Linked DNA regions of Sus scrofa. The protein of the gene in region 1 interacts with the protein of each later gene in a biochemical or structural test. Links are inferred from orthologs where the notes say so. Each region holds a gene or a part of one and is shown in the gene's direction. Other genes may lie near its edges.

The links.
Region 2: of the proteins of CDK2 (region 1) and MAPT, one has a biochemical effect on the other in vitro, tested with the Homo sapiens proteins (2 studies listed by BioGRID). The link is inferred for Sus scrofa from reciprocal best matches to the Homo sapiens genes CDK2 and MAPT.
Region 3: of the proteins of CDK2 (region 1) and ID2, one has a biochemical effect on the other in vitro, tested with the Homo sapiens proteins (2 studies listed by BioGRID). The link is inferred for Sus scrofa from reciprocal best matches to the Homo sapiens genes CDK2 and ID2.
Region 4: of the proteins of CDK2 (region 1) and PPP2CA, one has a biochemical effect on the other in vitro, tested with the Homo sapiens proteins (2 studies listed by BioGRID). The link is inferred for Sus scrofa from reciprocal best matches to the Homo sapiens genes CDK2 and PPP2CA.
Region 5: of the proteins of CDK2 (region 1) and NPM1, one has a biochemical effect on the other in vitro, tested with the Homo sapiens proteins (2 studies listed by BioGRID). The link is inferred for Sus scrofa from reciprocal best matches to the Homo sapiens genes CDK2 and NPM1.
Region 6: the proteins of CDK2 (region 1) and SKP1 are reported together in a solved structure, tested with the Homo sapiens proteins (2 studies listed by BioGRID, with this or other methods). The link is inferred for Sus scrofa from reciprocal best matches to the Homo sapiens genes CDK2 and SKP1.

Annotation. Positions count from the first base shown.
Region 1 is NC_010447.5:21,364,415-21,368,974, forward strand, and holds the start of CDK2 (cyclin-dependent kinase 2), read left to right. Parts: upstream 1-1,415; 5' UTR 1,416-1,553; coding exon 1,554-1,669; intron 1,670-2,385; coding exon 2,386-2,463; intron 2,464-2,574; coding exon 2,575-2,695; intron 2,696-3,938; coding exon 3,939-4,109; intron 4,110-4,560. Other genes in the region: melanocyte protein PMEL, read right to left, coding at 473-626. UniProt on the Homo sapiens protein: Serine/threonine-protein kinase involved in the control of the cell cycle; essential for meiosis, but dispensable for mitosis. Phosphorylates CABLES1, CTNNB1, CDK2AP2, ERCC6, NBN, USP37, p53/TP53, NPM1, CDK7, RB1, BRCA2, MYC, NPAT, EZH2.
Region 2 is NC_010454.4:17,208,363-17,212,982, reverse strand, and holds the start of MAPT (microtubule-associated protein tau), read left to right. Parts: upstream 1-1,592; 5' UTR 1,593-1,742; intron 1,743-4,620. UniProt on the Homo sapiens protein: Promotes microtubule assembly and stability, and might be involved in the establishment and maintenance of neuronal polarity.
Region 3 is NC_010445.4:127,500,180-127,504,749, reverse strand, and holds ID2 (DNA-binding protein inhibitor ID-2), read left to right. Parts: upstream 1-1,542; 5' UTR 1,543-1,639; coding exon 1,640-1,987; intron 1,988-2,365; coding exon 2,366-2,422; 3' UTR 2,423-2,429; intron 2,430-3,218; 3' UTR 3,219-3,991; downstream 3,992-4,570. UniProt on the Homo sapiens protein: Transcriptional regulator (lacking a basic DNA binding domain) which negatively regulates the basic helix-loop-helix (bHLH) transcription factors by forming heterodimers and inhibiting their DNA binding and transcriptional activity.
Region 4 is NC_010444.4:136,519,603-136,524,412, reverse strand, and holds the start of PPP2CA (serine/threonine-protein phosphatase 2A catalytic subunit alpha isoform), read left to right. Parts: upstream 1-1,782; 5' UTR 1,783-1,960; coding exon 1,961-2,062; intron 2,063-4,810. UniProt on the Homo sapiens protein: Catalytic subunit of protein phosphatase 2A (PP2A), a serine/threonine phosphatase involved in the regulation of a wide variety of enzymes, signal transduction pathways, and cellular events.
Region 5 is NC_010458.4:52,778,835-52,783,557, reverse strand, and holds the start of NPM1 (nucleophosmin), read left to right. Parts: upstream 1-1,695; 5' UTR 1,696-1,912; coding exon 1,913-1,970; intron 1,971-3,895; coding exon 3,896-3,975; intron 3,976-4,723. UniProt on the Homo sapiens protein: Involved in diverse cellular processes such as ribosome biogenesis, centrosome duplication, protein chaperoning, histone assembly, cell proliferation, and regulation of tumor suppressors p53/TP53 and ARF.
Region 6 is NC_010444.4:136,473,337-136,478,107, reverse strand, and holds the start of SKP1 (S-phase kinase-associated protein 1), read left to right. Parts: upstream 1-1,743; 5' UTR 1,744-2,199; intron 2,200-4,771. UniProt on the Homo sapiens protein: Essential component of the SCF (SKP1-CUL1-F-box protein) ubiquitin ligase complex, which mediates the ubiquitination of proteins involved in cell cycle progression, signal transduction and transcription.

The DNA of each region.
Region 1 (4,560 bases):
ATGCTCAGCTGAGACCCCTCTGCCTGACTTCCAGCCCCAGAACAAAAGCCTGTGTTTGCCCATGCCCATCCCAAAGAGGAAATGTGGTACCTCTTTACCCTCTATTCAATACCACATTCTCTTGTTCCTCGTTGGAAATACTCTATCTCAAGTGCCTGAGACATTGCCTAAAAGAGTCTCCCTCTCATTTTATCCCCTTGGATCCCCTGCTCCAGCTCACTGTCCACGGGTCTCAGAATTAGGGCCACAAAGACCCACTCTTCTCTTGCCCTTCCAAGCAGATGGGATTATTTTTAGGCTCAGTCCCAAATCTCCATGTGGAGAGAGAGTTCATGTGCCCATGTCCTCACTAAATCAAATGGGAGGGAGAAGTCTGAGGCATTGCTGGTATTTCCCATTAGGGAGGGGAAAAGCAGAGCAGGTGTGCAACCCCAAATTCACACTTGCTCATGTCTACACTCCCCATACTCACCTTCTGTGGCCCCCACAGCCAGAAAGGCACCCATCACAGCCACATGGAGAAGGCATTTTCTGAGCACCAGATCCATGGTATTCTTCCTTCCAGCAACCAAAGGCACTGGGGCAAAGGACAAGCCCCTATATAAGAAAGGGGTGCTCATTTGCATAGCCCTTCCCCCTTTCCCTCCAGAGGAGGCCTGGGAGGAGGAGGAGGACCTGAGAAAGGCAGAACTGGGGAGGGATCCTGGTCCCTGGACATCTTGCTACGCAGTGACAGTTTCTGGCTTCACAGGGTCACTCTCAACACTCCCCCGCCCAAAGAATTGACTGAAGGGCAGCAACATAGCATAACACGTACCCTACACACACAATCCATCATGGGAGAGTGGATCAATCTATTGTGAGTCAAACCAGAAACCTGTCAAAAAGACTGTAGAAACAGCAACCCTGCATCCAAAAACAGAGATTGTGTAGGATAGGCTGACAGAGGCAATGACTCCTCCGAGGTCCAGGAAACCCTTGCAAGGAGCTTCCCAGCTTCCTGCTTTTCAGAGAAGGTTCCCTGGGCTAGGTGGAATTTAATCTTAGATCAGTGCACATTTTCCTAAGGGTGGTGAAAACCCGGTTTAGATATTAGGAAATCCCTACAGACTCAAGGTACAGGTAGAAAACTCGAGCCCAAATCAAATACTAGGAACACGATATTTCACCTTCCCACCTAGGTTAAAACTTGACTTAATACACCTCAGAAACTTGCGCTGGGAAGGGTCGTTTGGGGCGTGGCGGAGCGCAGGACGGGCCCTTCCCACTCTGACGTTAACCAATAGGAAGATCTGGGGGCGGAGCCAGGGAAACGCGGGAAGGAGGGGCGGGGCTTCTGGTGGCGGTAGGGAACTGGCGGGGGGAGGCGGCAACATTGTTTCAAGTTGGACAAATTGACAAGAGCGAGAGATACGCTGCGTTCCATCCCGACCTGGGGCTGCCGTGCAGGGCCCTGTTTCCCCCTCCTCGGCCCCCGAGAGCTGGGTGCCGCTTTCTGCTGGGTTCCCAGGCCCCCGCTCCAGGGCCGGGCTGATTCGACTCGCTAGCGCTTCATGGAGAACTTCCAAAAAGTGGAAAAGATCGGAGAGGGCACGTACGGAGTTGTGTACAAAGCCAAAAACAAGGTGACGGGAGAAGTGGTGGCGCTTAAAAAAATCCGCCTGGACACGTGAGTGGCCTCTGTACCTGGGACTCCTCTAACTCCGGAGCTCCTTGAGTGCCCCCCACCCCCACCCCAACAGGCGGGTAGCCATCCAGGGACCGGAAGGTAGTAGGGAGGGACTTCTTTTGAAGTGGAGAGGTAGGTTGAAGGACAGTACAGGGTTTCCTTGTGGAGAATATAGGGTAGTGTAGAGTCCATGGGAAATTTCCTTTCCAAAGGCGGGTGATGCCCGAAAATGTACAGTCAGAAAGACTCGGGAAGAGGAAGGAGGCCTCTGATTTGGGGTCCAGGACTCCCCGTGGAGTTGGGTTTTGTAGAAAGCGGTAAAGAGCAACTTTTTGAATACGAACTTTCCTCGCTGTCTCAACCCCACCCTCATCTTAGAATTCTCTCCCCCTTTCAAAAGAATGGCAGTTGAAACTCACTGGCCCCTCTCGGAGGCTGGGTGCTGCTACTCCCCCCACCCCCACCTTTTTTCCCCCAGTTAACCTTCTTCACTTTCACCAAGAGGCTTTGCTAATCTACCCCTGGGAAAAGAAGAAATAATGACCTTAATGTGTCCAAAAGCCCTTCCTGTCCACCCATGAATTAATCCCTGACACCCCTTTTCTCTCATTTCCCTAGAGGATGCTGGGGTGGTGTCTCTGGTGGGGTCATGACTGGGCTGGGGAAAAAGGAATATTTGTAACCACATTCCCATCTGCTTTCCCAACTTCTCCAAGTGAGACGGAGGGTGTACCCAGTACTGCCATTCGAGAGATCTCTCTGCTTAAGGAGCTTAACCACCCTAATATTGTCAAGTAAGTATGCATCCGGGAGGTGCTCTGACAGTAAAGGAAGATGTGTTCTGTTTGTGTTATCTGGACATTTCTCTCCCTCACCTCTGTTCCTGGACATCCCCCCTTCCCTAGGTTGCTGGATGTCATTCACACAGAAAACAAACTCTACCTGGTTTTTGAGTTTCTGCACCAGGATCTCAAGAAATTCATGGATGCCTCTGCTCTCACTGGCATTCCTCTTCCCCTCATAAAGGTAATCCTTCTCATCAGTTCCTCCCCAACATGGGCATGTCTTGGGGGCACTTAAGACAGATAATTAAGACTGAGTGATGATTTGTGATCTTGGCTTCATTCCCAGCCGTCATCCCCCTATCATGCAAACACAATCACACATACCTTTTGTGTGTGTGTGTGTGTGTGGTGTGTGTGTGTGTGTGTGTATGGCTCTTTCACCGCTCATTATGCTTATTAACCCTAGGGCTGGGCAGAAGAATCAAAGTTGAAACTCTTGTGAGTCAATTTAGCAGCTCAGGTGGAAGGTGAGATGAAACTCAGATAAAAGGTGGAGTTCCCACCGTGGCTCAGTGGTTAACGAATCCAACTAGGAACCATGAGGTTTCGGGTTCGATCCCTGACCTTGCTCAGTGGGTTAAGGATCCGGCATTGCTGTGAGCTGTGGTGTAGGCCGCAGACGAGGTTTGGATCCCATGTTGCTGTGGCTCTGGCATAGGCCCATGGCTACAGCTCTGATTAGACCCCTAGCCTGGGAACCTCCATATGCCTTGGGAGCGGCCCTAGAAAAGGCAAAAAGACAAAACAAAAAACAAAAAACAACAAAACTCAGATAAATGGGACTGGAGAGCACTTGGTAAATTCTTTAAAAAAAAAAAAAAATTGGTGGGAGAAATAGCCAGTGAGTCTCTATTGTCTGTTTTGCTGGGTTCTTTACTCCTGGAGCTACTTTTAATCTATCAATAAACATTTATCCAACACATTTATTGAAGACCCTCAATGTGCTAGACACAGAATATGGAAAAGAGATGCAAAACTGAATAAGACAGGGAGTTCCCGTCATGGCTCAGCAGTTAATGAATCTGACTAGCATCCATGAGGATGCAGGTTCAATCCCTGGCCTCGTTCAGTGGGTTAAGGATCTGGCGTTGTCGTGAGCTATGGTGTAAGTCACAGATGTGGCTTGGATCCTGTGTTACTGTGCCTATGGCATAGGCTGGGAGCTACAGCTCCGATTTGACCCCCAGCCTGAGAACCTCCATATGCCGAGGGTGCAGCCCTAAAAAGCAACAAAACAAAACAAAAAACTGAATAAGACCTGATCCTTATCCTCACTGGGCTGATAGTCCAATGGGAGAAAGCATGTAAATGTTTAATTACAATCTAACATAATAAAGGCTTTAGTAGAAACTCTGGAGGCACAGAGCAGACCCTAATTTGCTCACTTTGGTGTAAAAACACAGTCCCTTCTCTCCCCTTGTCAGAGTTATCTGTTCCAGCTGCTTCAGGGGCTAGCTTTTTGCCATTCTCATCGGGTCTTGCACCGAGACCTTAAACCTCAGAATCTGCTTATCAACGCAGAAGGATCTATCAAGTTAGCAGACTTTGGACTGGCCAGAGCCTTTGGAGTCCCTGTTCGTACATACACCCATGAGGTGAGCTCCTCTCTGCATGTCTTCTCTGAATTTCTTGGGAGGTGAGGTGTTAACAGGGACATTCACAAAGTTACTAAAAATATCTGGCTAGCAGTTTCTCTATCACTAGATGGAAAGTTATCTCTGATGCCCCAAGAGGTCTTAGAGTATGCACAGACTTCATATTTTGATAGATACTAAGCTAGGAGAGCTGGATGGTACACCATTAAAATTATGACTGCTTGCCTCAAGTCTTCCAAGAAAGTTGTAAATTGAGGATTCAGAAAATTTGGGGTTCCAAGGACCATGGACTAGGCTACTCTAGGATAAGAGGCTGTCCCAGGAGTTCCCATCGTGGTGCAGCAGAAACAAATCCGACTAGGAACAATGAGGTTGCGGGTTTGATCCCTGGCCTTGCACAGTGGGTTGAGGATTTGGCATGACTGTGGCTGTGGTATAGGCCAGCAGCTGT
Region 2 (4,620 bases), on another chromosome or scaffold:
TAGATCCCTGGCCTTGACCAGTGGGTTAAGGATCTGGCATTGCCACAATGCAACTTGGATCTGGCGTTGCTATGGTGTGGCATACGCCTCAGCAGCAGCTCCAATTTGAGCCCTAGCCTAGGAACTTCCATATGCTGCAGGCCATTAAAAAAATAGTAAGAAAAATATACTAAATCCATGTGAATAAAGAAAATCATCAATTACTTGCTTTTTGTATTAATCTACAGCATACAATATTGCTTTAAAAAAAAAAAAGAATATCAGAGCTATGCAGGGAGTTCCCATTGTGGCTCAGCAGGTTAAGAACCAGACTAGTATCCTATGAGGATTTGGGTTTGATCCCTGGCCTTGCTCAGTGGAGTAAGGATCCAGCATTGCTGCAAGCTGTGGTGTAGGCCAGCAGCTATAGCTCCCACTCAACCCCTAGCCTGGGAACTTCCATATGCCAAGTGTGCGGACCTAAAAAAAAAAAAGAAGAAGAATATAACAGCTATGTAAATTAAAGCTTTAAGACAAATTCCCACCCTCCTATGACAAGATGGCTGTCCCTAAGCCCTTCTAAACTTAAACTCCCACTGCCAGGGTTTAAATTAGATGTTGGGCAGAACAAGTTAAGGACAAAGCCTAGATGCTGGCTGACTGAGAGAATGAAAGCCTCTGGCCACTTTCAGTCTGAGGCATGTTATCCAGGTGAGAATCTCCCGCCAGCACCTGGAAATTCAAATCTCAAGCTCTATTTACAGTAATAAGGATGTTTCACAAAGAAGATAAAAATAACTGTATATGTGAAAATGCTCTGTAATGTGGTAAGTGCCATTTGAAACTTGATCTAATTTAAGATTTTATTCTTGGGTTACAGTTAGATTTGAATGCTCCTTGTTAAAACACTCCCCCCCCCAAAAAACACCCAAATGTGCACTGCCTAATTATAATCAGGTTAGCCAGGTTTAAGTAGATTTACTAAGGAAAGAATTCACCTTGATCAATAACAAAAAAGGTGGAACAAAAGCAGGTTGAAGGGAAACAGACACGAGGAAACTGATCTCCAACAAGGGGAAATTCAGGAGAGGGTCAGGGTGCCAGTGGGCAAGCCTGGGGGAAGTTTTTGAGGACCTGCGTGTACTGTCTGGAGAGCCGGCCACGTGAAAAACTGCCCAGGACCTTTCTGAGACAGGACATCACTCCGGAGCAAAAAAAGGGGCTGCGGATCTGGAGGCGGCGGAGCACCCAGCGTCTCCTTTAACCCAGAGGGCAACCAAGCCTCGCTTCCTAGGGAGGAGACCCCTAAGACAAAACAAAGACTCCAGCCGTGAGAGGAGACCCAATGTGCGCTTGCGCCAAGAAGCGCGCGTGCGCGTGGCTGTCAGCTCCGCAGCACAAGGCATGGGAGGAAGGGAGACCCGGGAAGGGAAGTGCCGAGAGGAGAGAGCCGGGAGGCGGGGAAGGGTCGATTGGTAGGGCGCTCACGCGCGCCCACTGGTGGCCGGAGGAGAATACGCCTGCGGAGGCCTCAGGGCCCCGCCCCTCCCCTGGGGAGGCTCGCGCTCCCGCCGCTCGCGCCTGCGCCGCCCGCCGGCCTCGGGAGCGCGCCCTCTTGGCGGTGCGCGCGCTCGCAGTCTCCGCCACCCACCAGCTCAGGCACCAGCAGCAGCGCCGCCGTCGCCGCCGCCCACCTTCTGTCGCCGCCACCACAGCCACTTGACTGTTTTCCTCTGGTGTCCTCGCCCTCTGTCGACTATCAGGTAAGTGCGAGGCTCCGAAATCTGCCTCCCCCTCTGCCCTCCTGCACTCCCATGCCGCCGCCCCTCGCCCCAGAGATGGGTTTCCTGAGGTGAATTTTGGTCGGGGGCAACCGCCGGGGCCCCTCCTTGCCCCTTCTGCGTTGGGGCTCGGGATTAGGGCGACTTGGAAAGGGACCCGTGCAAGGGATGCATGGGTGTGCGTGTGTGTGTCCTGAGGGGGTCTGCACGACCCGTTGCGAGCGGACCCGGACAGAGGTTTTGCCCACAGGGTGGGGCGCGGATGGCGGTGACCTGGGGGAGGGGGCTGCAATGCATTCTCGAATACAGCCTTTTGCAGTAATAGGAGTGTGACTTTGTGGGTGTGGGGGGTGTTCAATGACGACCCCCCAAACCGAACCTCTAATCTGATTTCTCTGCCTCGGTTTGCCATCAGCTCTAAGGAAGGTATTGATCGGGTTCTAGGAAAGATGACTCCCTGCCTGCCCCTCCCTACACCTCCCCGGCAGCTATTCCAATGGGGCTTTCGCTGTCCCAGGTTTAAGGCGGTGGCCCACCCCTTCCCCGTTTTCCTCCTTCAGAAACCCGCAGGGGACATTTGGGGGCTGGGAGTGGAATCAGGGAGATGGGGAGGGGTCCCGGTGCTGTCACTTTAGTTGCCCTTCCCCCTGCGCGCGCCTGGCACCCAGACTCGAGCAGCGCCGCGCCCGAGAGAAGGTAGTGCGCGGATCTCAATGTGGAGGTGCGGAACGGCAGGGGTCACCTGGCCTTGCGATGTGGAAGGGCTCGGCAGCCGCGGATCCCAGCTCGAGGGCGCGCACAGCCGCAGCCCCGCACAGACGCGCGCGGGGGCTGCAGGTGCATTTCGGGGCGGGCCCCTTTCTCTGCGCTCTGCGCTCTGCGCTGGCGGACCGGCGTGTGCGCTCCCTGCCGGAGGCGCCCGGCTGGCGCGCAGGGCTCGCCCCTCACTGCGGCAGTGGGTGTGGACCCGGGTGGGCGAGGAGGGGGTGGGTAGGCCGAGCCTCCTCCCACTTCCACCCTTGCTTTTTTCCCCTCCGAACGCGAGGTGCCATCTTTTTGCGGCGTGTCATGTCTTTATAGTACCGTGCCAAGCCGAGCGGCTCGGCTTCGGAGGACAGGGCGAAGACTGTCATTGACGGGGAGGGGGCAATTAGCGCTGAAATCTTGGATTTTGCTGCTGCGGGCTTGAGCACTGGGGGAGTTCACCCAGGATTTTCCTTGGGGGCTCGGTGCTTTGTTTGTAGGGTTTACGTGATCTGCCTTGCCAGCCCTAGTTTTTGGCTCTTATTCTATGAGGGTGTTTAATCGAGGCCCCCACCCCTCCTCCCGCTTTTTGCCCCTCATTTCTGAGCCCTTTGTTAGATCTTGGCGCTCGCTGGGGTCGAGGAACTCGAGTCAGCCCCGAGGGCACGCAGGGAACGGGCGTGACCCCGCGAGCCCCTCTCCCAAAGCGGGGCTGCGCGCCAGGAAGCACCTGAGGGCCGAAGGGATGGACGCGAGTTGCGGGTGGCCACAGAGGGACGATGCCCCTCCCCATACTTGGAGCGTCCTGGGGGCGACGCCTCGCCAGGGAGCGCCGGCGACCCCCGGTGGGAGAAGCGGGGTGCAGGGGTGGGGGTTGCCCACTTCGCTTCACGTCCTGTTGCTTCACCAGGCGGGAGAATGTGAGGAGGGGGCATGAGGTGCTGCGGGCCACACCCTTTTATCAAAAGGCCTGGGAGGGGGTCGCAGGGGGAGGTTGTCATGGAGACCACCCGCACCCTGGGGACAGACCTTGGGGCGTTGCCCCGCCCCTGCCCAGCAGAGATAGAGAACCTAGGGATAGGCCCTGCCCCTCTGGCTCCAGGAGAACACAGGAGGGGGACCTCCCACCCCTTAACCCGTGGCTCTTCCAAATTGGACTCCTGCGGCCGCAACCACCAGGAAAGGCATCTTTCATGTATTTTTATTATTATAGTCGAATATTATTTTAGAACCGTGAGAGATTTTCATTTGAGAGCCCGAGTTCGCCGCCACCTTGAAACCCGGAGGCGGAGTGAGGTGGGGGAAGTAGGAAGGCGGGTAAGATCCTGGCGAACAAATCCGAGCCTCACCCTCTTTCCATTAGCTGGGTCCTGGCGGCTTTCTGGTTAATTCTATCGCTGGAAAGTGGTGCGGGGGCGCAGTTCTGAGATTCATGAGCATTTAAGGGAACACACCATCCTCTCGAGCCGCGCAGATTGATCTAAACATGCGGGGAATGACTTGGCTCGGGGTCGAGAGCCCCCCAGGGGCCAGGCCGAACCTTCCCTTGGCTTCGGGATCGGATCGGAGCGAGCTTTCCTGGGATCGGATCGGAGCGAGCTTTCCTGCAGAGCTGGGCTCGGCAGGGGCAGGTTGGAGAGAGGTTCAAGGATCAATTCGAGCATCTTCCCCCCGCCCCATAGAGCTAGACAAGAGATTCTGGTTCTAGACAGAGCTAGGGTCTAGACAGAGCTAGCAGACCTGGGAACAGGGAGCCCGCAGCCTCCGCTGCCTGGGATGGACCGCAGGCGAAGACAGCATCTCCTATCCGTTGTTGGGAAGGAGCGCATCATGGCAAGCGCGTTTAGCCCAGTGCTGGGAACAAAGCGCAGTATAGGCGTCCGCTATTTTACCCAATTTTGAAATGTATTGGCGGTTTGGTGGGGCTCTCGGGTCGGCAAGGCCGGGGGTGGGGGTTGTTAAATGGAGGAATCCTGGGGGCCGTGAGATGGTCCTTCGTACGACAATCAGGAAATCCCATCCCTGGCTCTGGGCGCGCTTTAACTAAGCAGCTTTCTCCTTGGGATCTCGAGGGATGCCGCGTTTGTGCCCAAGCTCCAACGCTGAAGCTCTGAGC
Region 3 (4,570 bases), on another chromosome or scaffold:
AGACCAGACCCTCGGGCCACCAGCTGAAGAGTTAATCATTAATTGATGGAAAAAATACTGTGTCCCCATTATTAAACTTTGCTTTTTCTCCAGTTCTGCCCCCCCCCCCCGCCAAGTGCAAAGGAGATTGAGACAAAACATAAGATACTTAGAGACATCATGTTGTCTCAGATTTTCTAGCTTATTGTATTCTAGAGAAATATGGTTTTCAACACACTAATTTATCATGGTCTTCAGTTAAGCTAGAATTAATGTGTGAATTAACTGAAAAGGATTTGAGCAAGTAACTCCAAGCTTTGTAGAAAATGTAGATGGCAGAATAAGTTCTTCAAGATTTAATAGGGGAAAAGAGGGAAGGAAACAACCTGAACCTGCCCCTAAGGCTAGTGCTGAAAAGAGTCCAAACTTGGTATATGACAGATTTAAAGAACAACAACAACAACAGCAACAAAACAACAACAACAATGTGAAGATATCCACCACTGGCTGGAGCCACCTACCTGTCACAAAGCTTTAAAAATACAGTAGGACTGGAATGTGACACCAGAAATCACGACTTGTGCATAATTAATCACCTTACTTTGCCACCTACACTGCAGAGGACAGACTGGCAGCCTCGGAAGGCAGTGTACGTAAATACAGCTTCCATACGCAAATTCTCCTAATGATTTCCGCTTCGTAGGATCATTATCATAGATAGCCCTTCCTCCTTCTAGAAAAGGAAGCCAGAAAGCGTCCTGCGCTCAGAGCTCCTCAGCGATCAGCACAGGTTCCAATAAGCACTCACTTCACCGAGTTTACAACAACGCCTCCTGCGTTGCTCCGAGTTGCACGATCCCACACTAAACCTGTCGTTGAATGCGCGCGTGGGTGATTTTGGTTTTGTTTTTTACAAAGCTTTTCCTTATCTTAAGAGACCCAACTCACACTACAGACGTCACTTGGCGACGGCAAACTTATGTGCGTTTTCACTTTCTTCAGAAATGCTTTCTATCTTGCTGACATTCCGTGGGGCGCAGGGGACCGTGGTGGCTTTCCCTCCGCTGCGCAGACCTGGCCTCGGTGGCTGTGGTTTTAGGGATGCTCAAAGCCCCGAGGTGTAGAAGGCTTCCTCGGGAGACACCTTAGGGAGAGAGTCCGGCCTCGCCGTTGGGATTAACAGGGGATTAAGATGCACATTGAGGTTCCTGGGGTCTCCCCCTCCCCCACCCTGTCCGCGACCCCCTCCTCTACCCCCACCCGCTTCTCTCCCCCCAGCCCTCCCCTTCCCCTGCGCTCCCCTCCGGCCCGGCGCTTACTGTACTCTATTTACCACCCCAGCTGGGCTCGCGCCGCGGGGATTGGCTGCGAACGCGGAAGGACCGAGCGCTCGCCCCGCGCCCGCGCCGGCCAATGGGGGTGCCCGCCCGGCCTGATGGACGCGCCGCCCTCCACCAATGGGGACGCAAGGCAGCCGGATCGTGTGGCCCCGGCGAGCGCTGATAAAAGCCGCCCGGCCGGGCTCCCTGCTTCGTTCTGAGCCGAGCCTGGTGCCGAGCGTAGGAAGCTCTGCAGGCGGCGGCGGCGGCGGCAGCGGCGGCGTCCTGAGCTCCGGGGCAGCCCGCTCCCTCCTCCCGGTCTCTTCTTTCCTGCGGTCAGCATGAAAGCCTTCAGTCCAGTGAGGTCCGTTAGGAAAAACAGCCTTTCGGACCACAGCCTGGGCATCTCCCGGAGCAAAACCCCGGTGGACGACCCGATGAGCCTGCTGTACAACATGAACGACTGCTACTCCAAGCTCAAGGAGCTGGTGCCCAGCATCCCTCAGAACAAGAAGGTGAGCAAGATGGAAATCCTGCAGCACGTCATCGACTACATCTTGGACCTGCAGATCGCCCTGGACTCGCACCCCACTATTGTCAGCCTGCACCACCAGCGACCCGGGCAGAGCCAGGCATCCAGGACGCCGCTGACCACCCTAAATACGGACATCAGCATCCTGTCCTTGCAGGTAAGACCTGCTCCTGGTGCCCCGCTCGCGGCCGCGCAGCCGGGCGATGCCTGGGCTGCCACTGGCCGACCCATTGTCGAGACCGCCGGCCGCAGTCGGTGACTCACAAATGAGCTAATTAACTTCATTGTTATTAGTTTTAGTTTTTTTTGTTTTTTTTTTTTGTTTTTTTTTACAAATCTGCTGTAGATTGAGTTATGCGGGAAATTGCTGATAGGTTAGTTCTGAGAGGTTAACGCATCAATCTTTGAGTCTGCAATTAGCGTAAACGTCTTTACTGGAACTTGCTGTTCTATGGGCTACTTGGAAAAAGAAAAAAAAAAGCTCTTTCTCCTGAAGTTGTCTAACGTCGAGCCTTTTATCCCCGTTCTCTCGTAGGCTTCTGAATTCCCTTCTGAGTTAATGTCAAGTGACAGCAAAGCGCTCTGTGGCTGAATAAATGGTGAGTGTTTGCTTGTGCCACCGGTCGGTGAACCGGCACTCGGGGTGTGTGCGCGCGCGCGCGCGTGTACTTGCGAATCTGTAAAATGTTGGGTTTGGTAGATGAATGTGTACTTGGTTGTATAACACGTAGTACATTGTTTACGTGTACTAGATGTGAAGAGGCATCTGGCTCCTGTTACTCAAATTCACGGAAGATTTTCCTTAAAAAAAAAAAAAAAAATGCCAGTAACTATGGAAGGTGGCAGAGGAAACTGTGTAACTGTGTCCCGGTTTTATGTGCCAGTATCATGCCTGGGCTGTTTTCTGCTCATGCTCTGGTACTACGAGGTACTAACCCCCGTGTAATTAATCTTATCACCGCAAATTCCATCGGGATCCTCCCTCCCTAAAACTCCAGCCCTCTGGGACCAGGCTAGCCAAGCATTGCTGCCCTGTGCCTCAGCCCCTGTGATGTGGGATTCCGACTTCCCAATCTGTTAACTAAAGGGCTGTTTTCAATCAAATAATTGTTACAAGAAGCAGACTGGCGCCTATGAGCCCTGCCGCTGGAGATCCAAATAGGAGATTGCATTGGGAAGTTTTTCGCCTGAGTCTCTGCTATTTTAATGTTTAATTTGCGCTGTCGAGGCCGAGTGTGTGTCTTGCATCTGTGGACGCCAGGGTTTGCCCAATGTTTGAGTGTTTGGTTAAATGTTCAAACTGCGGCTTCCTCCTGGCGCCAGTCTGCCCGCCTCTGCCCTTAGGTTAAAATCTCCTAAACAGTCCTTTCTCTCTCGATCTTTTGCAGGTGTTCATGACTCTTCCCCCCCCCACACCCACCCCCTTTGCACAACAACAGCAACAAATCCACAGGCTCTTTTAAGGCGCTGAACTTATTTTTCAACCATTTCCCAAGGAGGACAAGTCAAATGGACCTTTAAAAAAAAAAAAATGGAAGGAAAACTAAGAACGGTCGACTTGCCCAGTGTTCTCTGACCTGGACTGTGTACTAGTTATTTATGAAAAAGACTTTTAAATGCCCTTTCTGCAGTTGGAAGGTTTTCTTTATATACTATTCCCACCATGGGGAGCGAAAAACGTTAAAATCACAAGGAATTGCCCAATTTAAGCAGACTTTGCCTTTTTTCAAAGGTGGAGCGTGAATACCAGAAGGATCCAGTATTCAGTTACTTACATGAAGTCTTTCGGTCAGAAATTACCTTTTTGACGCAAGCCTACTGAATGCTGTGTATATATTTATATATAAATATATATATATATTGAGTGAAACCTCGTGAACTCTTTCCTTAGAGTTTCCTTGTACAGCGGCAGAGATGTCAATTTCTGCATCAAAGTGTAATGATGTACTTATTCATGCTAAACTTTTTATAAAAGTTTAGTTGTAAACTTAACCCTTTTATACAAAATAAATCAAGTGTGTTTATTGAATGGTGATTGCCTGCTTTATTTCAGAGGACCAGTGCTTTGATTTTTATCATGCTATGTTATAACTGAACCCAAATAAATACAAGTTCAAATTTATGTAGACTGTATAAGATTATAATAAAAACATGTCTGAAATCAACACCTGAATTCCGAATGATTTTTAAGATGTTCTCCTTCTCTGTCTCGCCATTTTATTTAACCCCTCACCCCTTTCGCTCTCCCCCCCCCCCCCAAGTCTTGGAACCTGTGTGCAGAGAAGCCCCTTATCAGATGTGTGGTCAGAAGGAGCACTTTGGGGCAAAGGGCTGCTGCTGCTTTTTGGGAGAGCTGATGGGCTGGAAAGTCTCTAAACCCAGAAGTTTCTCTCAGTCCCGCCTGTGTTTTGAGTGTTGAGTTGCCAACCAAGGAGTTGCTGTGGCGGTGGCTCCTGGGAGTGGGATCATTCAAATTACATGTGGGCTCTGGAAGGGCTACCTGGCTGCAGAGATGTTAAAACGCTTCTGGAGTAAAGGAAACTGCTGTTAACCAGAAGAGGAAGAGCTCCAGGGAATTCGGAACATGATTTTAAGATTTAGAGGCAGGGCAGAAAGCCCTCAGTGTTAGGGTCTGCTGCTGGTGACTGTTTGCCCTGGGACTTCAGGTGTCATCGGGCCCTGAGCTCACAGCCCTGGCTTCCCCTGTGTTTGCTCCACCTGCAGCACACCCAGCCTCGGG
Region 4 (4,810 bases), on another chromosome or scaffold:
CTGGAGGGTGTGTGCTCTTCTCCAGCACATTGCCAAGTGCTTGGGTTGACTGGTATTGAGGGTAGAGTCTAAAAGAGAGGGACCAGGTTCAGTTCTTGCCTTGTACTTCATGGTTTAATGTCCTTTGGAAAACTTCCATCTCTGAGATTCTGTGGACACTGTCATGGCTAAAAACCACAAGCAACATGTCTATGTGTTAAATATATCACTGTTTAGTCTGTTGCTGAAGGACTTCTGGTTTGTTTCCAATTTTTGGTATAACAAACATCACTGCTAGAAACATCCTTATACTTATCTCCTGAAGTCCATGTGCAAAACTTTCTCTAGGGAAAACAACAAGGAGAAGAAGAGCTGGGCATGGGTTGTGCCCATCTACACCTTAACTAGATAATGCCAGATTTTCCAAAGTGGTTGTCCCAAAGTACAGCAGTGTATAAGAGACCCCATTGCTCCACATCCTCACCAACATTGGATGTTGACAGTTTTTGCCAAATGGGTGAGAGTCAAACCTGGAATCTGTGGTTTTCATTTCCCTGCTTACTACCCTTGTGTTACTGGCCATTCATCTTCCTGCTTTTGTGAAGGGCTCTTCTGCCTGTCTATCCCCAGATCATCCCAGGAAGTACACAAGCTCCGTCAGGGTAGGGTACCTCTGTTTGTATGACCCTTCTGTCCTTCGGGCATGAATCTTGAACATAACTGGCGGTGTACGGAGCCAAATATTTCTGCGAATGCAAGGACAACGGAATGCGGATACATTTCACGAATCTCGAAGAGATTTATAGCCAGAGGTCCGATCCTAGGGTATCTGAGCTTTCTTTAAAGCGCACATCACAGCCGCTTCTAACACTACCGGGTCTCAATCAGGACCGGTGCGTCCATCTCCTTGCGGTCTTCCCTCTAGAAAGAAGGCCTGAGTGGGCAGACGGTTGGTGGGGGTGGGGTCGGGGGCGTTTTCTTCTTCCCTTGGAGGCTCGGAGTCGGAGGAAAGCGCCCACCTAGGGGGGAAGGCCACAATGGCAAGACTGCAGCGGCGCCTGTGGAAGCCAGGAGCGCTAGGAGGCCCCAGCCATGGCGCTAGAAGAGACATCGAGGCCCGGGGACAGGTGTGTTGGGGAGTCAGGTGCACTGCGCAGTACTGCAGGTACACCCTCTTCCGCCTACGACTGACCTAATTACAAGGTGCTGGCCGCACCCGGAGGCAGGGGTGGCTACTCCAACCTGGCTACCACTCGGCGCCTGTTCCTGCTCCCAAGATGCAGCAATTCCAGTGCTGTTGTAGAATGGAGGAGCCACGGGGCCCAATTCTCGTTTCCGTGCTTTGGCAGTCGCCAGGTGAGGAGCCGAGGCGTATCACCTCAGGGAAAAAGTCTCCGGCAACAAGGAGCCACCCTCGCACCCCGGCTGCGCCTGCGCCTGGTCCGCAACTACACCCTGCAGGATTTAGTGCTCTAAGATTAGCCCACTTCCCAGCTATAAGCAAGGCCCCTGCTTGGACTCGGTCTTCCCTTCCCCCTCGGCCCCTCCCTTCTACAGGACCGCGCCCTAAAAGCGAAGGTGCCTGTTTCCAGCCGGCTACTTTACGCGCCTGCGCCCTGGCCCCTAGTTCCCGCCCCCGCTCGGGTCTGGCCGCAGATGAGAGCCGGCCCGGCAGTTGCGCAGCTCGTATCCCGGCGCTTCTACCCCTCCTCACCCCGCCACCTCCTGACGCCGGGCGTGACGTCACCACGCCGGCGGCCGCCATTACAGAGCCGAGCTCCAAGGCTAGAGCGAGCGGAGGAGGTCAGTGGCCGGTAGCCGAACACCGAGGGGCGAGTCAACCGGGCAGCGCTACTGCCGAGCAGCCTTCAGCAGCCACACAAGTACCCCGGGGGCCGACGGCAGCGTGTGCGTGTGGCCCGTGTGCGGGCGGCGGCGCGGGAGTAGCGCGGAGCGGCAGCCGGTTCGGGCGGGTGGCATCATGGACGAGAAGGTGTTCACTAAGGAGCTGGACCAGTGGATCGAGCAGCTGAATGAGTGCAAGCAGCTGTCCGAGTCCCAGGTCAAGAGCCTCTGCGAGAAGGTGAGCTGCACTCCGGCTTCGGGAGCCGGGGCGGGCCGAGCCCGCCGAGAAGGAAGCGGCCGCGGGGAGGGTGCAACATGGCGGAGGCCAGCGGCCCCGGCCCCCGAGCCTCCCAGACCGGCCCCCGGCGCGGCCCGGCGGCGGCTCCCGGACGACCCGGCGCCCCCTGCCTCCCGCGCAGGGATTGGTTGTCGCTGCCACCGCCGCCTAAAATGGCGCCGTTCACCCGACTCCGGGGCTTCAGAGCTTCCCGGCCTTGGCTGGAAGCGAAGTGGCTGGGGGAGGGTGCGGGGGAGCGGAGACCCTGCGAGTAAGGGTCAGGGACGGTTTTGATATCTGGGCACGAGGTCTTAGGTTCTACGGCCTGGGAATGGGGCCTGGGACTCTTCTGTGAGTTTGGTGGGAGGTTTCTTACTTGTACTCAGGCCGAATGCTTAGGTCCAGAGCTGTCCAGAGGGTCCCCCAGAGGCAAGCTTGTAGGCCGGATCCCGGGACCTATCTAATAAAGGTCACGCAGATTTAGCATCGTCTTGAGTGGTTTATGGTAAACCTCTCGAGCTGTGTTTTCCAGAGACTTATTAGTACATTTTTTCGAGAATTTTTAAATGAGCTTTTAATCTAAGTTTCAATGAAGGTCATGGTGGTAGTTATAGGGAGGAGTATAACTTATTTTTCATAGTTGGAAGAATTAGACATTTTGGTGAGTCATTCTACATAGGAGCTTTGGGATTGGAAATCAAGTGTCAGTTTAATCTCTGATTTATATGCTGACTCAAATTGGATAGTATGAAACCCTTCTTTAAGCTTAAGGTTCTTGGCATTTTGCCATTTGTTTTTTAAATGAGCAGCATAAACTGTTAAGACCAGCAGATTTTGTATCCTTGCTCTCTGCTGGAAAAGTTGTTAGTATATTTGTGACTTTAAGTAGTAAGTATGATATTAACAGCTGTTGATCGAGCTTTTGCTGTATTCCAGTCATTGTGTTTAGTGTTTAAATCCCACAAACGTTTAAAATGGAATGTTGTAGTCTGTTTTAGAAGTCCATTTTAAATGACCTAATTCTGATTTGTTTTTCCCAAGGAGTTGGGGAAACAGGTAGCCTGTTTAAGTCTTATAATTCAGTTTTCTAAAGTAGAGAAAATGCTGATCTCCACCATGAATGTTTCAACTTCTCTTTTTAAAAATAACTCTGCAGCATCTTTAGTTCCACAGAATGGTGGAGTATCATCAACATTTTGTATTAGTGAAGAGAGTTATTAGAAAGCAATTACGCTGACTCGTTTGTGGTTTGATGTGAAAATTAGATTCGTAAATTTGACATATACGCTCCTAAAACAGGCTTTTTCAGAAACTCTTCTGTGAATTACTGCAATTTAAGTAAGTCTAATTCAGATTTGTTTATCCCAAGCCTCAACAAAACTTCTAGTTGATGAGGTGGCACATCATCTCTTGGAGCTGAATTTTAATACTGGCAATGTAGAGCCTTTTGTTGCTTCTTGATCCTTAATTCTTTTACATCAGATGAAAATGACATTTGTTTAAAGTTTTGGAAGTGGGCTTTTAAAAATTGTTTAATGTATAGTGTTAGGTCTTAGTTTTTGGATACTGTAAGTGATGATTTTAAAGATTTTTAGAGTTGAGTACTTAACTCTATATAAAGACTTTGAGTCAGCAGTTGGCTAGATGACTAGTTATTTGTGTAGCAAACATTGCAACAGAGTAATGATGTGGTTGGAAGACCACTGGACTGTGAGTTAGACCTGGACACTGGTCCTTTTTCTGCCACCAAGTAATTGTGACCTTGAGGCAATCACTTCACTTGGTCCACATTTTCTTGTCTATAGAGTTAAAACATGTTCCAGGGTTCCTTCTAATCATTTGAGATTATACAATTGCATTTTAAAATAGTACTCTGTATTTAAATATTGAACACTTATTGGATATCCAAGATTGCTTACTTTTATGAGAGGAGTGAAAAGCAATGAAAAATAATCATGCTTATTTTTAAGGATCTTGAATCTGGTTGGAAGTCTGTAGTAGATAGACCACAGAAGTAAAGGGTCTGTGTTGGAGACAGCAGAAGATATTGGAATTATGGTGGGGGGACTGAAGCTTGATCCCCTTGGTAAATATTGTTTGCTATGTCTCTGTAATATCAAGATGGAGTGAGATTAATCAGTTTATGTTTAAATCCCCATTGCTCATCCACTGTATAAAGATTTTAATTCTTGGAGCATATATATATATATATATATATCTTTGATGCTAGATTTTCAAGACATGGGTCCTTTTGGAGGTTGTCACATAGCCTTCATACTGTTTTTAATTTGTAAGTATTCCGTCTTTGGGAACTGTATTAACCTTCCAAAATAAATTAACTTGAAGGCAGTTTTTTAGGTATAGTAAGTCTTTCTAGTGAAACAAAAGTTCTCTTTTCACTATTAATATTTGTGTGGCCAATAGCACAACTGGCAAAACCTGTATATTTTGAAAATCTTGAGTGGAAAACCTTTTTTCATTAGTGTAATAATTAGCGTAATTATTTTTCTTTTTAAAGAAAAGATATTTGGTGGAGGTAGATATTTGGAAATAGTTGATAATTTCTTTGATTATAAGAAAGTATATTTATAGACCAGGGTGAATAGGGTTTTTATGTTATTAACTATGTAAGTTTTTTCCCCACAAGATGTGACTAAGGTCTGTATCAAAGCCAAGGTTGTTGTGTGTGCAGTATACCTTGTCATTTTT
Region 5 (4,723 bases), on another chromosome or scaffold:
AACAGAAACACAGCAAATGTATTTATATAATATGCACTATGGCTCCCAGAGAGTTCATGCTCTGTGCAAAACTGCACTGAATAATCATGGTCTAGAAAGCTGAAAGAAATTATAAAGTCATTTCAATTTTTCTTGCAGGGGCCCAAAGAACATTAACCCCTTCTCCACTCCCCTGTAGCTCTTTCTCTCTCTCATTCTAACACCTCTAAATCCGCCTCAGGCACAGTCCTCTCCTCCCTTTTATCAGCCTTTCTCAGTTCCTTTACGGATGTTCTCCGCTACATCTTTTCTCCCCAACAAGTGGCAATCCGTAGTAACTTTCCAAGACTCGGTTTTTTTCTCTAGTAATTGGTCACACTCTGCATTTTAAAAGATGCTAGAACCAAGCTGGTAAAGACTTTTTTCAGTTGGGAGCAGGGAAAAGCGGAGAACAGCTTAGTCCATTCACAAATAAGCATTGATTTCTCCACATTTTGAATTTTGATTCTGTTAATTATTGGTTCATGCGTATCACAGTTTATCTTCCCAAGTAGCCTATGTTTGGAGAAAAGGCGGTAGGGGATTGCTGTCACTATTTTTATTCTTTACAGTACTTTAATTTTTTAAATTTGTGTAAAAACCATAATTGTGGGGATCTTCAGCACCCCTGCCCGAGGAGCTGCGGTTGGGGGAAGGGTGGTCCTCAGTTTGACAGCGTACTTTAAGATACTCATTTCCAGGCTCGCTTCCAGAGTCTAAGTTTGTGTATTTCTTAAACGTCAAATGCCTTCTTTTCAGGCCAGAACAACCTTAGTGATGTTAAAGATTAAGAACTGCACAACCTCAGACACTGGACCCCCGTGTAATCCCCCGAGCTTTTAGACAGGTGTTAGTATTAGACTTGGAGCTAGAGAACCCTGTTTCTGTAACCACTCCGTCTGGGCACCTTACTTCCTCGTGGCGCGTCTCCCTGTCCGCAAAATGGGGATAGTCACATCTGCCTCTTACCTGTTACGTGGGGACATACGGTGGATACACAACCCTTTTAAAACTTTCTCTTTGGAGAAATCACCCAGGCTTGGTTCCTGCCCTGCTCATATGAAAGAGACCGATTTAGAACCCCCTGTTGGCCTCCCAGTGACGTAATGTCGAAGAATTTTAAATTCGGAGATGTTTCCTCAGAAAGGACAGGGGGTTAAAAACAGAACCGATTAAGTCTGGCCAGCAGCTACATCTTTTCTCCCCAACAAGTGGCAATCCGTAGTCCACTGTCTCTGGCACCTTAAGCTTTAACTTTGGGGAAACAATGAACTCTGGGCTCAGGCCTTCAGGCGAGCCAAAAAACTGGAAGTGGTTATGCCTGTTTGCAGGCCTGCGAGGCATGAGGAGATGGCGAAAGGAGAAATGAGCTGCTCTCTGGTTCACTTACAACCAGCTCGCCCTTCGTACCTAACCCAGCTAAGAGTTGCTGCCGCCATTTTGCAGGGTGGGCTGCGCAGGCTCTTGGCGCAAGGCCCGCGCTCCTGAGCGGGAGAGGACGTGGAAGGTTTGGAGGGTGGGGGAACGCGCGCTACGAGGGGGAAGTACGCGTGCGCACAGGCGGTGGCGGCGAAGTGGGTGGGACCAGGGTACGAATGCGCGTGCTCGGTGGGAGCCCGCGAAGTACCTGGAGGAGGTGGGGGGCGAGGTAGCAAGGAGTGATGTTGAAGAGCGCTTGCGCAGGAGAGAGACTGTGCGGGGAGGGGGGCTTCCGAGCACGCGCGCGGAGGCGGGACTTGAAGAGCTCTCGCGAGATCGTCAGGGTGCTATATATGTGCGCAGGGAGCCCGCGTCCTTTCCCTGGTGTGATTCCGTCCTGCGCGGCTGTTCTCCGCAACACTAGTGGATTATCTCCGTCCGCCTTCTCTCCCACCCAAGTGCGTGCCACCAACCCATGGAAGATTCGATGGATATGGACATGAGCCCCCTGAGGCCTCAGAACTATCTTTTCGGTAAGTACTGGCGTGTTGGGCCAAGGCCGAGCGCGGCCTGGTGGCTTTGGAGTGGGTGGTGGAAATCACACTGAGGCCTGGGCAGGTGGAGAAAGCTAAGCAGGCTGGAGGCCTGCGGGAGTGGGAAGCGAGCTGCTGGGGTCCTGAAGCTTAAGGATGGGGACCTGGGAGGGCGAGCCGGCACCACGGAGTGACTGGGAAGTAAGGGCGGCCTGAAGCGTGAGCGGTCCGAGGCCCAGGGCCTGAGTTAATGTGGAACCCACCGGTTTAGGGTTGGGCGTTAGCTGGGGCACGTGGTAGAGCTCCGGGCATAATTTTTTCCTGGGGTTGCGTGAGTTGGTAGGCTTCTGATTCCAGACTAGTGCCTGATGCTGGACTCCAGGTTGGTGGTGCAAGAGATTGTGGGGGATCAGGGTGTGAGACGTGGGCTTCCTATCTGGACGGAGAGGACAAATGGAGCCTGGCGTTGTCCTACAGGCCTAAAGGGTCAGGAGGTCTAGGGCCCAGACTCGGCCCGGGTTCTTCGGCCGGTTACAGGGGGATGGGAGCCGCGGCCCGGCGTGGGGAGGCCGCTACCGCTGGGAGCACGTGGTTGCCACGTGGTTGGGGGAAGGAGGGGTGTGGGCGCTACATCCGGGGTTCACTGGTGTCTTGTCACTCCGAGCCTGGGGTCCTGGGGCTTAATTGAGGATGGTGGACGGGAAATTTTAGGTGAAGTGGTTCGTAGCGCCAGTACTCTTGAGGTCTTTGTTAAGTGGTTAACATCAGTGCTGGTAGTTCTAGAGTTCTTTTTCTATCTCTCCGCGCTCTTTGCAGATGACTTACTGATACTCGGAAAACTGAAGGTTGCACTTAATAGTTCCAACCCCACAACGCTTGCTTCCAGAGCTGGTGCTTTACAAATGATTTGGGAGGTGGGCAGCAGAGGCAGCCTTCTGTTAAACTTGTAGTTCTATTACCAAGGTTTTGTTGCTCACCTCAATCACACAGTGCCATCCTAGGAGACTTGGGTTGGTTTTTCAACTTCACTAAACTTAATTGTTAAAGCCATTTTTTTTCGGTTAGGTTTTGAAGAAGTGCAAATGCCTTCAAGTTCATTTTGTTATATATCGTGCTGAGATATGTTAATTGAGCAGGAACATTTATACATCTCTTGCAGTAAATAAGTAGATGGCAATTAAATGGTATTATTTAAATTAAAATTTAGTTCTGACTATTAAAATCAGTTTGCCTATTCATGAGTGGTAATGGTAACATGCGCTATACATTAAGGGTTTTATTCTTAGCCGGTTTGAAAAGCTGGAGTTTCTGATCAGTTTATATCAAAAACGTTTGTGTTTACCCTCGGAAATATCCCTGGGATATTTCTAGTTTTGCCTTAGATATAATTTCTGAACAGAGTTTATATATATCACTTGTTAGTTCAGAGATGGATTGTGGACCCGTGTAACAACCTTTAGTTCTCCTACTTTGTAGTCTTTCTGTGTTGTAAATACAAGCTGTCGATGTATGTGTTTGTGTAACCACTGTCATTTCTAAATTGGCACTCCTCCTGGGAGTTGGGGTAGGTAATTCAACTTTTTAAAATAGTGGGGTTTTTATCAACATATGTTAGGTTTGGTTTAAGTTCCAGCTTTTACTAAATCTTTGATACTGTTTCCACCTAAGAAGAGTGTAGTTGAGCATAAAATAGTATGATGGAAAGGAGGAATTTATAAAACTATGAAAGTTATTTGCTCTATATGGATGTTATTTGATGTTTATAGACTTGTGTGTTCAAGAAGGCCTGTAAGAGGTACTTCTGCCTTGCTTTTTGGTAGCTAGAATAGAATAGTAAAATCAAGTAACTTTTGGTTACCCACAGTGACGTTTCATTCAGTGTTATTTTTCTCCTTGTTATAGTAGGGTTGTTTCCTCATTTACAGGTTGTGAACTAAAGGCCGATAAAGATTACCACTTTAAGGTGGATAATGATGAAAATGAGCACCAGTTATCTTTAAGAACGGTACGTAAAACTTTTCAAGACAAAGTACTCTCGATTTCAGACACCGCTTAATTTGTGTGGCTTAACATTAGAAAAGTATTTCTATAGTTGTTGTATATGCTTGGTTTTCCACGTGTGTTATAGAAAACCTGCCGTCTTTACCACTCATTTGATATTTTGAACAGTCCAATCACACTGTTCAGCTTTCCTTATTTTCACTGTTACTGTTTCTCTATTTGCTTTTTAGGGCCGCCCCTATGGCATATGAAAGTTCCTAGGCTAAGGGTCAAATTGGAGCTGCAGCTGCCGGCCTACACTGCAGCAACACAGGATCCGAGCTGCCTGTGCAAATCTGCACTGAAGCTCCTGGCAACATGGGGTCCTTAACCCACTAAGGGAGGCTGGGGATCAAACCCGCATCCTGATGGATACACATTGGGTTGGTAATCCAATGAGCCACAATGGGAACTCCCCAGCTTTCCTTATTGTGTCATCTACTTTTCTTGAGTTGTATTAAAAACTCTTTAGGGTAGTGACAAATATACATCTTGTTCCCCAGAGACTAGGCTATAGCCTACTACTTAAATTGTAGGTGGCCGGTAAATGTTAGGCGATTCATACTGTGAGTTAACAGTGGTGATGGCATAAGTATGTGTCATCAAATGCATTTTAGTGTATTTGTTCAAAGTTACTGAGTATGAGACTAGGGTCACATAAAACTTGAAGACAACTTTGAGCTCGTCAGTTTTCCATCAGTGGTAATAATGGA
Region 6 (4,771 bases), on another chromosome or scaffold:
CAACCTCATGGTTTCTAGTCGGATTTGTTAACCACCAAGCCACGACGGGAACTCCTGAAATCTGCATTTTAAAAACTAGAATCCTGGCAGTTCCCGTTGTGGCTCAGCAGGTTAAGAGCATGACTAGTATCCATGAGGATGCCCGTTTGATCCCTGGTCTCACTCAGTGGGTTAAGGATTCAGCACTGCAGCAAGTTGCAGCATAGGTTGCAGACGCAGCTCTGATCCAATACTTCTGTGGCTGTGCCGAAGGCCTCAGCTGTATCTCATATTCAACCCCTAGCCTGGGAACTTCCATATGCTGCAGGTGTAGCCATTAAAAGAAAAAGCAGCCAAAAAAAGCCACCCAAGAATATCTCGGTGATTCTAATATTAGGGGCCCCCAGACATTTTGGAAAAAACATACACCTTCCTAATGCCAGGCCCTGTGCCAGATCCTCCAGCTAGACGTGTAATCTGGCACTGCCCAGTCCTGCTTAGGATGCTCAACTAGGCTACAAGGTGGCCCTTATATGCCACAGGCAGGGGAGCAAAGGGGATCTAGTGGGCCTTAACTAAGAGACCAGAAGCTGGAGCTGCTTAGGGCAGGGCAGGCTTGTGGAGAAAAAGTCTGAGAGCTGTAGGTCCTTTCATCTTCCCGACATCAGCTGTGGCACCTGGCAGACACTGGATACCACAGCTTGGAGACAAAGACCTGGTAACCCAAGGAGCTGCTTGGTCTCCCTGCCCAGTCCCATCTCAGAAGAGCTGCAGGCTTCTGATTTCTTTAGGGGGCCCTGTGTGGAAGTGTCCTTTGTCTCCTTGGCGTCAGGAATACCATCACGTGCCTGCTGGTTAGGTGAGCCTGGCGCCTTAGTCTCCTCCAGAGGGGTGGCATTGTTCTCTAAACAGAGCAGGGTAGAGCAGGTCAAAGTCCCTGACTGGAGAGGGTGGGAGTGGGAATTTGCAGACTAACCCCTTTCCCTTGAGGGTTGGTTTCATCTTAGGGACCCTAACACAGCCTTTAGGGAGCATCCCACACAAGGGCTCTCTGCAGGCTGGACTCTGGCTGCCTCGTTCGCTGCCGAATTCCTAGCACCCATCACCTCGCCCTCCCCCCACCCAATACACTTTTGCTAACTTGGGGTTTCCCTGAAACAGTGGTTACTTTGGATTGGAGGCCTCTTCAGAAGTCGATAGGAAATCAGAGTTGAGAGTATCAAACAATCCTTGCTCTGCCACTGAACCGTTTTGAACCTGTTCCCTCACAAGTCAAAGAGAAAAGGGTAATGGTATTTCTTCTTCTTTTTTTTTTTTTGTCTTTTTGTCTTTCTAGGGCCGCACCCAAGGCATACGGAGGTTCCCTGGCTAGGGGTCGAATCGGAGCTGTAGCCACCGGCCTACACCAGAGCCACAACGTGGGATCCGAGTCGCGACTGTGACCTACACCACAGCTCATGGCCACTCCAAATCCTTAACCCACTGAGCGAGGCCAGGGATCGAACCCGAAACCTCATGGTTTCTAGTCGGATTCGTTAACCACTGAGCCACGAGGGGAACTCCTGATATTTCTTCTTATGCATTATTGTGGAGAGTGAGCTAACTCATGTAGGGTTCAGGGGAGGACACTGAGGCCCTGAGCAAAATCTCACAGCGCTGGCTGCAAAGATCAGCGCCCTTTCTTTCTCAGAGTCCCAGTTTCCCCATCATGAAAAGGAGCTGCAGCCCCTCCCAAACACCACCCCTAACACAGACGCCTCTCCCTCCCCACTCCGCCCCTCTCTCCCCGCTACTCCCCGCGCTCTCCCTCCCGGCCCCTCGCTCCAGGTTTCTAGGCTTTTCGGGACTGGGGTCTTTAATTCGACTTAGGCCAGCTCCCGCCTGAAAGACCCTTGCAGGCCGTGGAGTATCTGAGCCAGTCCCCCGTTTCCGCTTTGAGGGGAGTGAGCGCCGCTTTCGAGGGAAGGGGTGAGACTCAAGGCCCGCCGCGCCTCGCCCCGCCGGTCTGCGCCTGCCGTCAGGCGATCTCGGCGGCCAGCCCTGCCGTCTCTGTGACGTCACGGGCCCCGGGGTCCTCGGCGCCTGCGCCCGCTGCTATAAAGGCGACGCCGCGCCACTCGGTTGAAGTCGCCTTGTGCGTCGCTTTTCTGTCTCTCCGGTTGCGGACACCGCCCTTCTCTCGTCAGCCTCCGGCCCGCCATCTCCTTGAGCCCAAACACCGTGAGTACCCGCCGCCTGAGCTGAAAGGGGGCGGTGGCGCCGCAGATTGCGAGCCGCGGGCCGCCCCGCTGCGGCTTTGGCCTTGCTCGAAACGGCAGGCACCTGGGCCTGGCCTTCCCTCAGGCCCGGTGAAAGCCGTCGTCGACCCCATTCTCCCGGAGGTGCCATTCACCTCCCACACCGCCCCTCGACTTGCCGAGGCCTCTTTTAGCCGCTAGTCTTCACCGCGCCCAGGCGGGCGGGAGGGAGAAGGTGTGAGCGGAACCGGGATTGGGCCTTCTCTGCGCGGGGCGACCCTCAGCCGTCGCGGAGCAAGGCTGCAGGCCCAGGCTGCGGCCGGGGCCTCCCTCGGCGGTTGAGCCCATCGGCCCCGGGAAGCCAGGGCGAGGGTGGTGGCGGGGCTTTTAATGGACTTCTCTGGGTCGTCGTGAGCATGGGCGTTTGTCCGTTTGTTGTTCGGGTGTCCCAGAGGAAGCGTGGTAGGGTCGTCCCGCAGCTGGATTCTTGGCTCTCAGTCTTTCTCGCCCCTGTGTCTGGCGTCACTCGTCCTGGTTAACTGCGCCGGAGCCGAATTTCGGCAGAGAGCTGCCTGCTCCTTCGGAATATTTGTCGCCCATTATTTTGCCACAGCCCGCGGTTGTTGAAGCAATTGTTGGAGTAGCAGGTGCCATCGCCACAGTGGTTTGGCTTTTAGGTGCACCAACTCCGTAAACTTACTAAGAGGTTTTCGAAGGGATAGGATGTTCACCTGCTTTGGTTTGCTTTTTAATGGAGACTAAAGGTTGGAGTTTGGGCTCATGAATGTTTTCATGAGAGCGTCACAGCAGAATGTTTGTGTGTCATAGAGCAACGCAGATTTCACTTTGCCCTATAAGAAGAAGTGTCAGAACTTCGGGTCACTTAAACAGGTTTTTTTTCTTTTATGATGTTTGATAGACCCCTCCTCCTGGAGGGTGATTTAACTCAAAAGTGCCGGCGCATACGGAATTGAAGGAATGGTCTGGAGAACATACCACATCAAAGTTTCATGGATAATTATAGAAAAGTTTTGCTCTGATTTCCAGCTGTATAACGCTAAAAAAAATTTTTTTTTGAGTATTAAGTTTAGCTTACAAAGTGCATCGAATTACAGATTAACCGATTGTTTCCCTGCTATTTATTTAGTAAGATCTCAGTTAAGAGTAACCTAATACACGAATTTGACTGTGACTAAGCAGATATGGCTGTTTATCAAAAGTTATTTGAAATATGAAATGTTCGTCTTGCTTAAAAGTAATTTTATCAACTGCATTTCCAGACTTGTGATTTTATAACGTTCACTCCAGTGTTGTGGAACAGTCATAGAGCATAGAATGTTTTGTAATTTAAAATTGAGCTCATGTTAAAGTATTTCTTTAGGGGGATATCTTTTGCTTTTGCCTTGTCGCAAGGAAGGTCCTCTGCTCTGGGCGTTTCTTCATGGAGCAGGACAACTGCATTATTGGCAGGCACTGAGTAATATGGAGAAGCAGACATTTGTGAACTGAAAAGTGAAATCTGATTCTCTGCAACCATGGATGAGTGTGAGCTGGATATTTCAATGGCTGGTTTTAAAACAGCTTTACCTTTTTGCTTCCTTGCCCTAACACCTTTGTCTCTTTGGGGAATGGAGACAGTTGTGTGGGAAAAGCTGAATATTGTAACCGATTTAACGGGTCCTAAGTGTTGGGGCCTAAAATAGGTGCAGTCAGTGTTTTGAATGCCAAATTCTGTATTTTTAAGTTAGAGTGATATCAGAGTATTATTACGAACATCTCAGATGCACGGGCCTTTTAAAAACCTGTTACAGAAACTTAAAGAGATCTTGAGTTTTTACAGTCAGGTGTTGCTGCCGCCCACCCCCCATGCCTCTCCCCCAAGAATCTGAAGACGGTAAGAAATTGCTGGCTTAGAAGCTTAGAACTTTTAATTCTAAAGAGGTTTTGTTTTGTTTTTGCCAAAACTCAAGTCCTTTGAAGTTAAATGCTTAATTAACTTTTATGTAAGAAGTGTCTTTTTCCTAATGACTCATAATCAGTGTGAGTTAATAAATTCATTTTGGCGGCAAGTAAAAGGCTGTTATTACTATGAGGATTTTGGCATTCGATCTCAAACTTGGGACGCCTAGACAGTCAGTAAAGAAAGATAAACAGGACTCTGAAACTATAGGTTTAGGGCATTAGGTCAACATCTGCTTATCCTTAGATATTTCATTCTCTTCTCTATGGCCTTGCTTTCATCCAAACATAAGTAAGTATATTCTAATCTACTCTTTAGATCTGAACTCACTTTTTACTGATAAGTTTCACTGTGGGAAAATTAATATCTTATTTGGTAGCTTTGTTTATTTTGGACTGACCTCCCTCAGGTGAAAGGAGAAAGGCAGGCAAAGAGTAAAAAAGCATTTTAGATATATTTTGCATTAGAAATATAAGTGTGAGTTTTAAAATTTATACCAGTAATGAGTGCAGAAGGGTAGGCCTTAAAAGTTTCTGTTCCTAGGAGTTATATATACTTTTGAAAAAATTTTATAGAAATACTTGTATAAAATTGC